3 linked regions of the Cricetulus griseus genome follow. The protein of the gene in region 1 purifies or fractionates together with the protein of each later gene. This does not show direct contact. Links are inferred from orthologs where the notes say so. Each region holds a gene or a part of one and is shown in the gene's direction. Other genes may lie near its edges.

Region 1 (3,646 bases):
ATCTGACAGGGTTAGCCTGGCATTTGTCCCTAGGCCCACAAGGTGATCACAATCATCAGATAACTGTGGAGCAAAGCCTTTGCAGGCTTTGTGTGTCCTGCTGTGCTCAGGAGAGTGGACAGGTGGGACCTCCCATAGCTTGGAGGCTCCCACTCAGCTGGGACTGGAGGAGCATGCAAAGTAGTGCCTTAGCTGAGGTGGTATTGGAGCACCACCCACAGCAGGGAAAACCCTGCTGCCTCCCCTTAGCCAGTCTAGGGGAGGTCTGAGCAAAATGGTGTGGAGCCCATGGCTGCCTCGGGCATTAGCACTGTCTGCGCGGACTCTGGCTCTTGCTGTCCTCGTCCTGTTTCCCTTTCTAGCAAGGACTCAGACATAGCAGGGGTGCACCTGAGAGCTTTGGGGAGTTGTGGAGGACAGAAATGGGCTAGGAAAGGGAGCAAGTGGGAAGTGTCACATGGGTTGATCTCACCTGTGCCTTCCCAGAGCACATCCCTTCCCCCCCCCCCAATCGCCCCATCCCCACCTTTAGTTCAGGTTCTGGGCTTCCCTGTTCAAAGAGCCCAAGAGCCTGGGTGTCATGTCTCATGTATTTGCAGCCCTCAGCTCTCTGTCTGTCTTTCCTTCCTCTCTGTGGAAGTGGTGGCTCTGGAGGTGCCGGCAGAGGGGGGGGGGACATGGGTTTGGCACTGTGTTTACCTGGCTGTTTCTGTGCCCCTGGGCTCAGGCTTCCCCCGAGGCTGCTTCCTGACGTCCTCACTCTACCAGGTGCATACCACCAGGAAGCTCTGTGAGGGGTTCAGGCTGCTTTTGGGCTGGAGTGGGCTGATCTTGGCCTCTACCTGTATTCTAATTGTGAGCCTAATGTGCCTCTCTGGGCAGTGACTGCAACTGCATTGAAGCTGGGACGATCTGTTCTATTCCAGCTGCCGGGAACGCTTTCTGCCAGGCTGCCCAGCTGCACCTACAGCTCCAGAGCAAGCATGATGCAGCTACCTGCTTCGTGGACGCAGGCAACGCTTTCAAGAAAGCCGACCCACAAGGTAACCTCTGTGAGCCACAGCTGGCAGAGCAGCTGAGCACTGTCCCCACATCCTTGGGTCTATACAGAGCTGGGTTTTTCCAGTAGTTGACACATGATAGGCCAGGAGCAAAACAAGCCCCAAATTCAGAATTGGCTGGTCCTTGGCTGACATTGGCATCCTGCCCTCTCTCCCCACCCCCCACCCCCACCCTGGTGTGCAGCCCTCACCCCCTCCTGGGCTTCGAGCATTTGGTAGTGGGAGTTCCATCTCAGGCCCACTCCTTGCCAGGGAGCCAGGCAAAGCTGTTCAGTTGTCAGAATTAGCATGCAGAAGGAAGCAGGGAGCAGGGAGGGGGGCAGTCCCAGATGAACCAGGTAGAGCGGAAGTCAGCCTGACCTGCCTTCCCAGCACACCAGAAGGAAGCAGAGAGAGCAAGCCTGGAGTGAGCTGCCAGAGCCCAGTTCCTTAAAGCAGAGCCTATGACATAGGAGCCTGGTTAGGCCAAAGCACAGCCCATGGACCTCAGACTTGAGATTTCCAGGCTGAGGAATTTGCTTTTGGTATTTTTGTTCACTTATTTTTGTGGTGCTGGGAATGGAGCCTGGACCTCTGTGTGCTGCAAATGTGTTGTACATGTCCCCAGTTCTTTTTGGTTCTTTTTGAAAATGGTTCTTTTTGAAAATCTTAGAGCTACATAGATGACTAACTTTAAATTTCAGCACGCACAGGTATTTGTTTGTTTGTTTGTTTGTTTGTTTAATTGGCCATCTAAGCTAGTCATGGCAGTGCCTGCCTGTCGTCCCAGAGTTTGGGAAGTAGGGACAGGAAGATCAGACACTCAGCTATCCTTAGCTCTTGGCTACATAGTGAGTTTGAGGCCAGCCTGGGTTACATGAGACTGTGTCTCATAAATAAATCTTTAAAGTATCCAGGCTGTTTCTCTCAGGAGAGTGGGAAAGAAGTGACTGTTCTTTCCCAAAGGAGAGGCTTGGGGTCTGGGTGAAAGCCCACCTCTGAGGAGAAGAGAAGACAAGCACCTCGGTCCTCCCCAGCATCAGTGGATGTCAGCCGTCATTGTCACAGGACCACTCCCAATTAGAGAGATGACTGTGGTGACTCTGTCCCTGGGCTGACTGGTCACTCCTGTTTGTTTAGCTATGATGTGTGGCTCAGGCCTGACAAACAGAGAGGGACGGATGGCCTTTCAGCCAGGACTTAGATACACCCAGTGACTCAGGGCAGTCCTCTCCCCCACAGAGCCGTCCCCACACTTTCCCTTCTGCTCCCTGGGGAACTGGTTGGCCTGGAGATGCTGCCTGGCATCTGTGCCCTTCAGCTGCTGCTCCAGCCGGAATGGCCGGGAGGACTTGTTCCTAGGTGGCAGTGGATGCCAACCTGCAGGATGCCATAGCTGCCCCTCCCAGCTTGTGGTCATGTCCTTTTTCTCTCGGGACCCAGGCATGGGCCCCGGCCTCAGCAAGTCCAAGCTGATGGGAAAGTATTGAGGGTGCTGCAGCCAAGGGTGTGAGTGAAGGTAGAGAGGGGCCGACTTGCCTCACGGGGAAAGCACAGTTGTGAGGGGAGCGCTTCTGGTGTTAAGGGCTAGGGACTCAGCCACGTGGCATCCAGCGCTGCTGCCTTGCTGCCCTGCCCAGTCACAGTTCCACATATGAGGGGAAGGGGGTGCATTTGCACGGTTGACAGCTCTTCTGCGGGGCCAGTCAGGGCTCACAGAGAAGAGTGACCAAGCAGGGGAGGACATGCCCAGGTGGTCTGAGCAGATCACTCCCCCTCCTCCAAGGAACCCAGTGGGGACTTGTGCTGCCCCACTACACTTCAGCCTAGCCGTCACTCTGCTGTGTTCTCTCTTCAGTGATAGCACACACCTACTGTGAGCTGTACACAGCAATTCATTCCTGGCATCCAGAAGGGGGCAGCCCCTGGCACCAGAGCCTCCCTGCATGGCTGGGTGCCCTGGGAAACAACTGGATGACCAGTGGAGGCTTGAACCCCCAGTTTCTTCAGGAAGGACCTCCCTTAGCTAGCTGTGAGATCCCCTGCCCTGGGGTCTGGTCCATCAGCTCTTTAGGAATCTCGCCTGAGCTGCTTGCCTGAGGCCTGGGAATGTGACCCTTTTAGAGCAGGAGCTCTAAATGAGCTGTGAATGTGCACGGGCAGGGAAGCAGTCTGGCTTCCTATCTACCTATCCCCACCGCCTCATTGGAGCTCGTGGTTTGTCCCTAGTTTGTTGTGGACGGTGCTTGCTTAGATCTGCATGTGATCAGGGGCTTCAGGGTGATGCGGAGGTGAGCCGGGCTCTGTAACTCCCTACCTGCTCTGGACAGGCTGAGCACAAGAGGGTGGGAATAGACCAAGGGCCCTACTATTTACCTTCAAGGTTTCACTGAGGCCTGTGGCATCAGATAAGCCCTGTGGTAAGAGCAGGCCCGGGTGTCAGCTGGCAGCCTACTACTTTCCAAGCTGTTCCCAGAGCAAGGGGCCAGCATAAGAGGACTAGGCCCTGTGAATCCATGTTTCTCCCCCACTGCCGTGGCAGGGACTGTCCCACCAATAGAGCCTATGCCAACAGACCTTGGCTACCGAAGTCTCCTCAAGAAGTA
Region 2 (4,429 bases), on another chromosome or scaffold:
TATGAATGAAACAAAAGTTTAATTGTTGTTTAAAGAAAACACTTCCTGTAGTTTTGCAGCTATTTCCCTTCTAACAGACGATGTGCCCAAAAAATCAATCACTATAGTACAACTGCCATCCACATGCGTAATTTGGGTTGTGATCATCAGACCCATCATCAAATCAACTATTTCCTTCTTACCTTTTATGCCACTGTCCAAAAGTCACTTTCCAGGGCTCTTATTCATGCCAGGCTCTCCTTATTTGTACCTCTTTATTTCTGTGACAGAGAAATATAAGGCTTGGAGCTGATGAGACAGAACCGTTATTAGGATCATACAACTCTTACATGCATGACAGACAGCTCACAACCACCTGCAACTCCAGCTCCAGGTGTTCCAAAACCCTCTCTGGATTCCACAGCCAGTACACTTGCACTCATACATGTATACACACACTTAAATATAATTATTTTAATTTAATTTTTGAGGCAGGATTTCTATGTATAGCCCTGCTGTCCTGGAACTCTGTAGACCAGGCTGGCCTTGAACTCAGTGATCCATCAGCCTCTGCCTCCCAAGTGCTGGGGTTAAAAGCATGTGACACCACTCCTGGCCCATCTTTTAACTTTGTAAGAAAAAGAAATATAAGACTTTGCACCACCACTAACAACCCTAGACTTTGTCATCTCTGCACAATGCATGTTACATTTTATTTATTGAGTTCAATGGTCAATGAGTTCAAACTAGTAAAACCCAGGGCTTCAAAGACAAAAAAAAAAAAAAAAAAAAACCAACACCAAAACATTCCCCCAGGAACCTGCTCCCCTACACACCTTGGAAAATGGAATGTGGGACTTTGATTAAATCTATCTATCTATCTATCTATCTATCTATCTATCTATCTATCTATCTCCATGTTTAAATACTGAGCTCTCTCACCCAAACTTTTGAAGAGCAGGCTTTTTGTGCAAACCATACACAGAAAGGACTTCATGATTGTTGACATATTTCACTTAACGGCAGATTAGATGTGGTAAGACCGGTTTGCCTTCCACACCAGATCATAAATTACCCAAGGGCAGAGACAAAATCTATTTTGTTCAACATATGACTCGGTCTTTGCATAATGTCTATGCTTAAACCTGTTGTGAGAACCCAGGGCAGCCTAATGAACTACACTGGCGAAGCCCCTAGAAGCCCAGTTTCCTCTTCTGAAAGCATGTGACACTTAAGCCCCCCCAATATCAGTGTTTTACCATTAGAGGGCAGGCAGGACTCTGCTCACCTATCTATCAAGGGTTAAGAGTAAACATTTAATCGAATCAGAGAGCTGAACGAACTGCGATGACAGATAGGTTGATGGAGGCTCCTATGCTCTCCCAGTCTCTGCGCAACAGGGCTGACCTTCCACGCCCCTGCACAGCCGCGACCCATCTGCCCAACTCCCTCACTTAACTACAATTCCCAGCATGCACCGCAGGCCCGGTGTGCCCGGATGAGGCGGCCGAGGCGCCCGTCCCGCGGGCCCCCTGGGGCCCTTCGCCTTGGTACCTCCCCAGCCCGGCTGGCAGTCTCCAGCTCGGAGACAGCCGATCGTCCCCCGCGCGGCGCCGCGCCCCTGGAGTAGCCGGGAGTCGTCCTCGCCCCCGGCTTTCCGTCAGGCTTTGGCGCCCGGCGCCCGCGCGGCGACAGCAAGGGGAGGGCGTCCGGCTCGGAGGACCCCGGAAGCACCTGGTTCCGGCTGGCCCGGGTACGGCGGTCGCGGTGATGGCTTCGGGACCCGGCAGCTGAGCGCTGAAGGGTGAGTGGGCCCTGCGCCCGGAATCTCAGAGGCCGACGCTCACGTGCAGCCTGCGCCATGGCCACCTCCGCCGCCTCCTCCGAGCATTTCGAGAAGCTGCACGAGATCTTCCGCGGCCTTCTTGAAGACCTACGAGGAGTTCCCGAGCGGCTGCTGGGGACCGCGGGGACAGGTGAGGCGGGGGCGGGACCAGACCCGAACACCACCCGCCCGGTGCTGTCCTCCCAGATGCGGACCCCTGGCTCCCCCGGCACGCCCCCTGCTGCTGTCCGGCCCGCGAAGCCCAGGGTCTGCTGCAGCCACTTGGCTTGCAATGAGATAGACAGACACCAGGGTGTCGTCTCTTAGGGATCCTCTAGTGTCCTACTCCCCCCAACCCCAATTCTTAGTTATCTGCCTCTCCCAGGAGCAAAGGAGGTTCTTAAATCTGCGGTCCTGTATTTCATTAAAACGACTTCTAAAAAAAATCGTAAGATTGGAGGTTGGGGATGTAGGAGTTTGGTAGTTTGATAGGCAATGAAAAATTTTAATTAATTCTAACCATAGCGTTTAGCTTATAGGTGAGACAGAGGCCGGAAGTGAGGGAAGGCAAACAGTTACATTGAAGAGGAACTTGAATGTGTCACATAATACTGTTGGATGTCTTGGGGGAAATCCGTAAGGATCATAAGCAGTTGGGTAATGTGGATTTCATTTTAGAAGCAAGGCTGCGGTAGCTGGATAGAGGATGTGAGAATGGATATGAGGCTGTGTTAGGAGCTTCCATGACAGTTGACTAGGTAAGCATGGGACTCTGGAGAGTGAGCATTAAATCCAACAGGTGGTTCCGAGGCAGACTTATGAGACTGGTGGATAAGAATAGGAAGAAAGATTGAAGAGTTTCCGTGTTTTCTCACGTGATCAGTTGAGTGGATGAACTTAAATATGAGGAGCAGATTGGTTTGAGTTATAGATGTGACTGGCTACCTGTAGAGTGTATTCTGTATCTAGCCTGACAAAATATTTTTCTGCCATTAAAACCATCATCAAGAATTCATTAATAAAGTAGATATTGTAAAAACCAAGAATTTGCCAGTGGCAAATTTTCTTTTCTTTCTTTCTTTTTTTTTTCTTTTTTCTTTTTCTTTTTTTTTGTTTTTTGTTTTGTTTTGTTTTTTGTTTTTTGAGACAGGGTTTCTCTGTATTGCTTTGGAGCCTGTCCTGGAACTCTCTTTGTAGACCAGGCTGGCCTTGAACTCCCAGAGATCCGCCAGCCTCTGCCTCCCAAGTGCTGGGATTAAAGGCGTGTTCCACCAACACCCAGCCCCAGAGGCAAACACTTTTAATCCTAGCACCTGGCATGTAGAAGCAGGAGAATCTGTGTGAGTTAAAGGCCAGCTTGATCTACCTAGCAGACTAGGTTTTATATAGTAAGACATTGGGGGGGCGGGGCAGACTGGCTTCAGACTGGCTTAGTAGCTATGTGACCTTGCAAGTTTTTTAACCAAACTAGCTTCCTCTACAAAATAAAATAGCATCTAACTTCATGGGGTTTTTTGTGAGGAGTGAATGAGTTAATATATGTAAATCCCTTAAAAATACTATCTGGCAAGAGCTACTAGCTATTATTCATATTTGGGAATTTACTGTTTTTTTTTGTTTAATTTAAAATATTAGCTCTTTATGTAGCTAGCTATTCTTAGGATGCTCTGTTTTGTTTGTTTGGTTTTGGTTTTCTTGTTTCTCTGTGGAGCCCTGGCTGACCTGGAACTCTCTCTGTAGACCAGGCTGGCCTCGGACTCATAAGTACATCTGCATCTGCCTCCTGAGTTCTGGGATTAAAGGGGTGCTCCATTACAGACCCAGATTCAGAACACTTACTTCCTAATGTACTCAACACTTTACATATTTATGATACAGTATATTGCTTGGCTTTCTGTGACTAGAAAAGGAGTTTGGAAATGTGCTCTACAAATCAGCACCATCAACACCACCTGGGAACTTGTTAGACACACATGCTTACCCCCCACCCCAACCTCCACCCCCACCCCAGCAAACAGAATCACTAACTGTTGTGACAAGCAGTCTGTCTTAACTGCTCTCAGAAGGATTTCTGGGGCTGGCTTAAGTTTGAGAACCAATGATCTAGAAATGAAATAATATTTTGTTCTGTGTAGTGTGTGTAATAAACTCCCAGGCATAGTGCCCAGCACGCCTGTATCTGAGTGTGGTAGTGCACACTTAGGAGGCAGAGGCAGCAATGGGTCTCTCTGACTTTGAGGCCAGCCTGGGGTTACACAGTTGAGACCCTTTCTCAAAACATAAAATGAACAACATATATATTTGTTAAATTATTGTAAAAATCATTTTTGGTTGTTAAAGGTACTATGAGTTCTTAGAAGAAAATAGCTGAGTAGGCATAATAATGTGTTTTTTTCATATTTTCATTACTCTTCAAATCGATATATATATACCTGTTAAAACAACCAAAGCAAAAGAGATACTTATTTCCCCAAAGTGTAGTCTGTATTCTCTCTTGGCCCTTGAAGGATAACTGTCACGGTGTGTCCTAATTTAGGAAGTTTTTGTGGCAATGACAGTCTTGCCATGTATGGTAATCATTAATCTCAAAGCCTGTTTCCATTTTATTCCAGAATATGGTGCTAA
Region 3 (3,646 bases), on another chromosome or scaffold:
GCTAATCGGCTGGCTTCCTGAGATAAGAGAATTTATTCTGGGGTATCATATTGGGTCCAGGTAGTCCCAGTACTTGGGAAGCTAAGGCAGGGAAATTGTAAGTTTGAGTTTGAGGCCAGCCTAGATTATATAGCCAGGCTATCAGAAAACCAAAAACAAGCAAACAAACATACTAGGCGTTTTAGTCACTTGGGAGACTGAGGCAAAACATTACCATGAGTTCAAATCCATACTGGAACACAGTGGAAAACCCTGTCTCAAAAGATAAGAAAAGAAAAGGAGAGGCTAGGTGTGGTAGCACAAAACTGTAATTCCAGCACTCGGGATGAAGGCAGAAGGATCAGTAGTTCAGGGCCACCTCAACTACATACTTACATACCAAATTCAAGGCCAGCCTGAGCTACACAAGACTCTCAAAAGAGGACAGAGGTTATTTCTGTATATGTTTAGAAATAGAATTTCTTTCTTTGTTTTTGTTTTTGTTTTTTTTTGTTGTTGTTGTTGTTTTTTGTTTGTTTGTTTTGGTTTTTTTTTTTTTTTTGAGACAGGATTTCTCTGTGTAGTCCTGGCTGTCCTGGAACTATGTAGACCAAGCTCAGAGATCCTCCTGCCTCTGCCTTTGGCGTGCTGGGATTAAAGGTGTGCTCCACCACGGCCCAGCAAAAACAAAAATAGTAAGCTCAGTTTTGTAGCATAACTTCATTTCCTTTAGTCTCTTTGAGATTGTTTACTGTGTAGCCCAGGCTGGCTTTGAATTCATGATCCTGCTGCCTTAGCCTGCCAAGTGCTGAGATTTCAGCTGCAAACCACCACACCAGGCAATGATTTTCATCTTTGCTTTTTTCATGTTTTATATGGTTTGATGTGGTTTTGTTTCTTTTGAGACTGAGTCTCATTTAGCCCGGTCTGGCTTCAAATTCATTAGTAGATGATGACCTTAAAATTCTGATATTCTTGCTCTATCTGCTAGATTATAGACGGGCACACAACAACTTTGATTTTTAAAGCTGTCTCTGCCAGCTCTGCCTGGTGTAGTAGTATGCACCTGTAGTCACAAATATTGCAGGAATAGCTTGAGTACAAGAGTTTGAGGTAAGCTTGGAGTTCACGGGATTTACAGTAGAGAGAACTTGTCTAGCATGCACAAAGCCCTGGTTCCAATCTTAAGCATTAAAACAAACAAACAAAAAACCAACCTGTCTTCCAGAGCTTGCTTGCCTGTGAGCCTGCAGCTTTGCATTGACAGTTCCCTGTTGTATTGTCATGTCTCTTTCCGTATCTCACCTGTTGACTTGTAAATTGAGAGTCCTTAATCTGCTAATGTTGAAGGACCAGCCAGAGCTCAGACTTGACTTCTCCAGCCTATAACCCCTGTCCCATTCCCGCTCCTGTCCCTCTGCATGGCCTCAGAGGCAGCTACCTCCTTCCTCCCACCCCTTTAGTTCCTTCCTGGTATGAGTGATTACTGGGGACAGTTTCCTAGGACTTCAGAAAAGAATAGGCCAATTTCATGGAGCAGTGACCGTCAGTGAACTGTCCCTCTGGTGTTTCTTTCTGAACTAGACCCAACCCCCAAAGGGCCTGCTTCTGCTGTGACTGCTGAGGTTTACCCAAAGAACTCAAGTCTTCGAGCCTATCATCAAAAGATCGACAACAACCTAGGTAAGTTTGGGAGCTACAGCAGCCTCCAGACAGTTGATGCTGAGCACAGCCAGGGCGCCCAGTACTGCCTCACTGTCAGGAATCTGTCCACTTCTCCCCATTTCCTGCTGTCACTGTAGCCAAGCCATCCTCACTACTTTCTTGACTCCTGACCAGACCTAAGCATCCCTGGGGCTTAAGAGCATCCAGGATAAAGCCACACGGCTGATGTGAGTGCGAAGGAGCTGAACTCAGATCTCATGCTTGCCCAGCAAGTGCTCATATCCACAGAGGCATGTCCCACAGCCCACCAGGCTGGTCTATCTCAGCCTTTTTTCCTGTCCTTACTGTCTCAAACCCAAGAAGCTTTCTTGAAGCCTGGGTGAGTGACCACTAAACTTTTACTTTACAGGAAACGTAAGGTCACATGTTTCAAAGATCTCAAGAAGCATAGTATGCCAGGCAAACACCTGTCATCCCAGGTACCTGTGATTAAGATAGGGTTGCAAATCCAGGGCCAGCCTGAAAGTTTGTGAGATCCTGTCTCAACATGACAAATATAAAGAGGCTGGAGGTGTGACTCAGTGTTGGAGTGTTTCCCTAGCACATGCAAGGCCCTAAGTTTGATTCTCCAGCACTTAGGGGAGCAATGCTGTACGTGGTAGAGACCCTAAGTCTTCTCAGGCAGCAGAAGCAGGGAGATCACTCTGACTTCAAGGCCAGCCTGGATTGCATTGTAACTTTCAGGCCAGCCAGAGCTATCTATCAAGACTATGCTAAAACAAACAAACAAACAAACATGTTAACCCTGGTTATCTGGAGGGAGGAGGTAGACAGTGGCTTCTACCTACACTAACCACATATTACTATGTAGTAAGTAGATTTCTCTTCACTTCCATGTTTTTTGAGTCATATGCTACAGGCTGTGGCACTCGGTTTTAGACAGGACTCTGCAGTCCAGATACCACTGAGCATCCAGAGGGGCAAGAAGCCCCTGCAGACACTGTAACTGCCTATCACTTCCTTCTCACAGATGAGCTGTCCATGGGATTGGGCCGACTCAAGGACATAGCCTTAGGAATGCAGACGGAAATTGAGGAGCAGGATGACATTCTTGACCGGCTAACAACCAAAGTGGACAAGTTAGATGTCAATATAAAAAGCACAGAAAAAAAAGTTCGGCAGCTCTAAAGAAACTGAAAAGGAATTCTACTCCATTGTGATGAAAAGATTCAAAGCCTCTTTTAAACTCCTAAGAAATGTCATTGATTGTACAGTATGTAATTTAACATATGTGTTCAAATGTGGGTCTTAAGAAATTTTAGTTTCAATGGGGAAAAAAATGTGTGTGTACACATTTGGGTAAGATCAACACCTCTAAAGTTCTGGGCAGACTAATTGTGAATGCCTTGAGCTTTTGATACTGTGCAGGAAGAAGAAAACCGTGCATTTCTTTCTTTCACAAGTATATGCAAAGATGTGGGCAGGATGTCAGTCAGTCTCCTAACTATTGCCTTCTATTTACTCGCTGTTTCTCACTCCAAGGCCTTACTGTGAATTCATGTAAAGTGACCCTGGGTTTTGGCAGAAGGAAGGGTCCTTCCACATCTTTGTATGTCAATCATTATCGATATGCCTGCACATACACTGAGCACATTGTAGCTTTCTCCCCCTGAAAAGGACCCCTGTTAGACCCAGAAAAGGAATGTGTTGCCTTCATTACTCTCCCCTCCTGTCCTCAGTTCTTGTCCTGTATTTCAGTAGAAGGACTCAGACTAGAACTGTTGGACATGACACCTGCAGTGTATGGAAATTGGATGAACTCTTCTTCCCCACCTACTGTCATCTCATACTTGCCATCTCTGGTGGGGACAGGTTTTTTTGACTGGCTCTAGGTCACCAAGTAGGTTGATGAGGAACCCCTGTGGAGTTAGTGAGCCCTGAGTATCTCCCAAACAAAAACCTCTCCACTGAGCCCTCTCTGCCTCTGGAATAGTACCAAGGC

Evidence for each region.
Region 2: the proteins of Napa (region 1) and Vti1b purify together in Homo sapiens (affinity purification with mass spectrometry; 3 studies listed by BioGRID and IntAct, counting the BioPlex papers as one, with this or other methods). This does not show direct contact. The link is inferred for Cricetulus griseus from reciprocal best matches to the Homo sapiens genes NAPA and VTI1B.
Region 3: the proteins of Napa (region 1) and Snap29 purify together in Homo sapiens (affinity purification with mass spectrometry; 3 studies listed by BioGRID and IntAct, with this or other methods). This does not show direct contact. The link is inferred for Cricetulus griseus from reciprocal best matches to the Homo sapiens genes NAPA and SNAP29.

What each region holds. Positions count from the first base shown.
Region 1 is NC_048602.1:10,772,153-10,775,798, forward strand, and holds part of Napa (alpha-soluble NSF attachment protein), read left to right. Parts: intron 1-926; coding exon 927-1,043; intron 1,044-3,646. UniProt on the Homo sapiens protein: Required for vesicular transport between the endoplasmic reticulum and the Golgi apparatus. Together with GNA12 promotes CDH5 localization to plasma membrane.
Region 2 is NC_048598.1:124,459,487-124,463,915, forward strand, and holds the start of Vti1b (vesicle transport through interaction with t-SNAREs homolog 1B), read left to right. Parts: upstream 1-1,528; 5' UTR 1,529-1,840; coding exon 1,841-1,955; intron 1,956-4,429. UniProt on the Homo sapiens protein: V-SNARE that mediates vesicle transport pathways through interactions with t-SNAREs on the target membrane. These interactions are proposed to mediate aspects of the specificity of vesicle trafficking and to promote fusion of the lipid bilayers.
Region 3 is NC_048597.1:71,888,132-71,891,777, reverse strand, and holds part of Snap29 (synaptosomal-associated protein 29), read left to right. Parts: intron 1-1,563; coding exon 1,564-1,662; intron 1,663-2,674; coding exon 2,675-2,832; 3' UTR 2,833-3,646. UniProt on the Homo sapiens protein: SNAREs, soluble N-ethylmaleimide-sensitive factor-attachment protein receptors, are essential proteins for fusion of cellular membranes.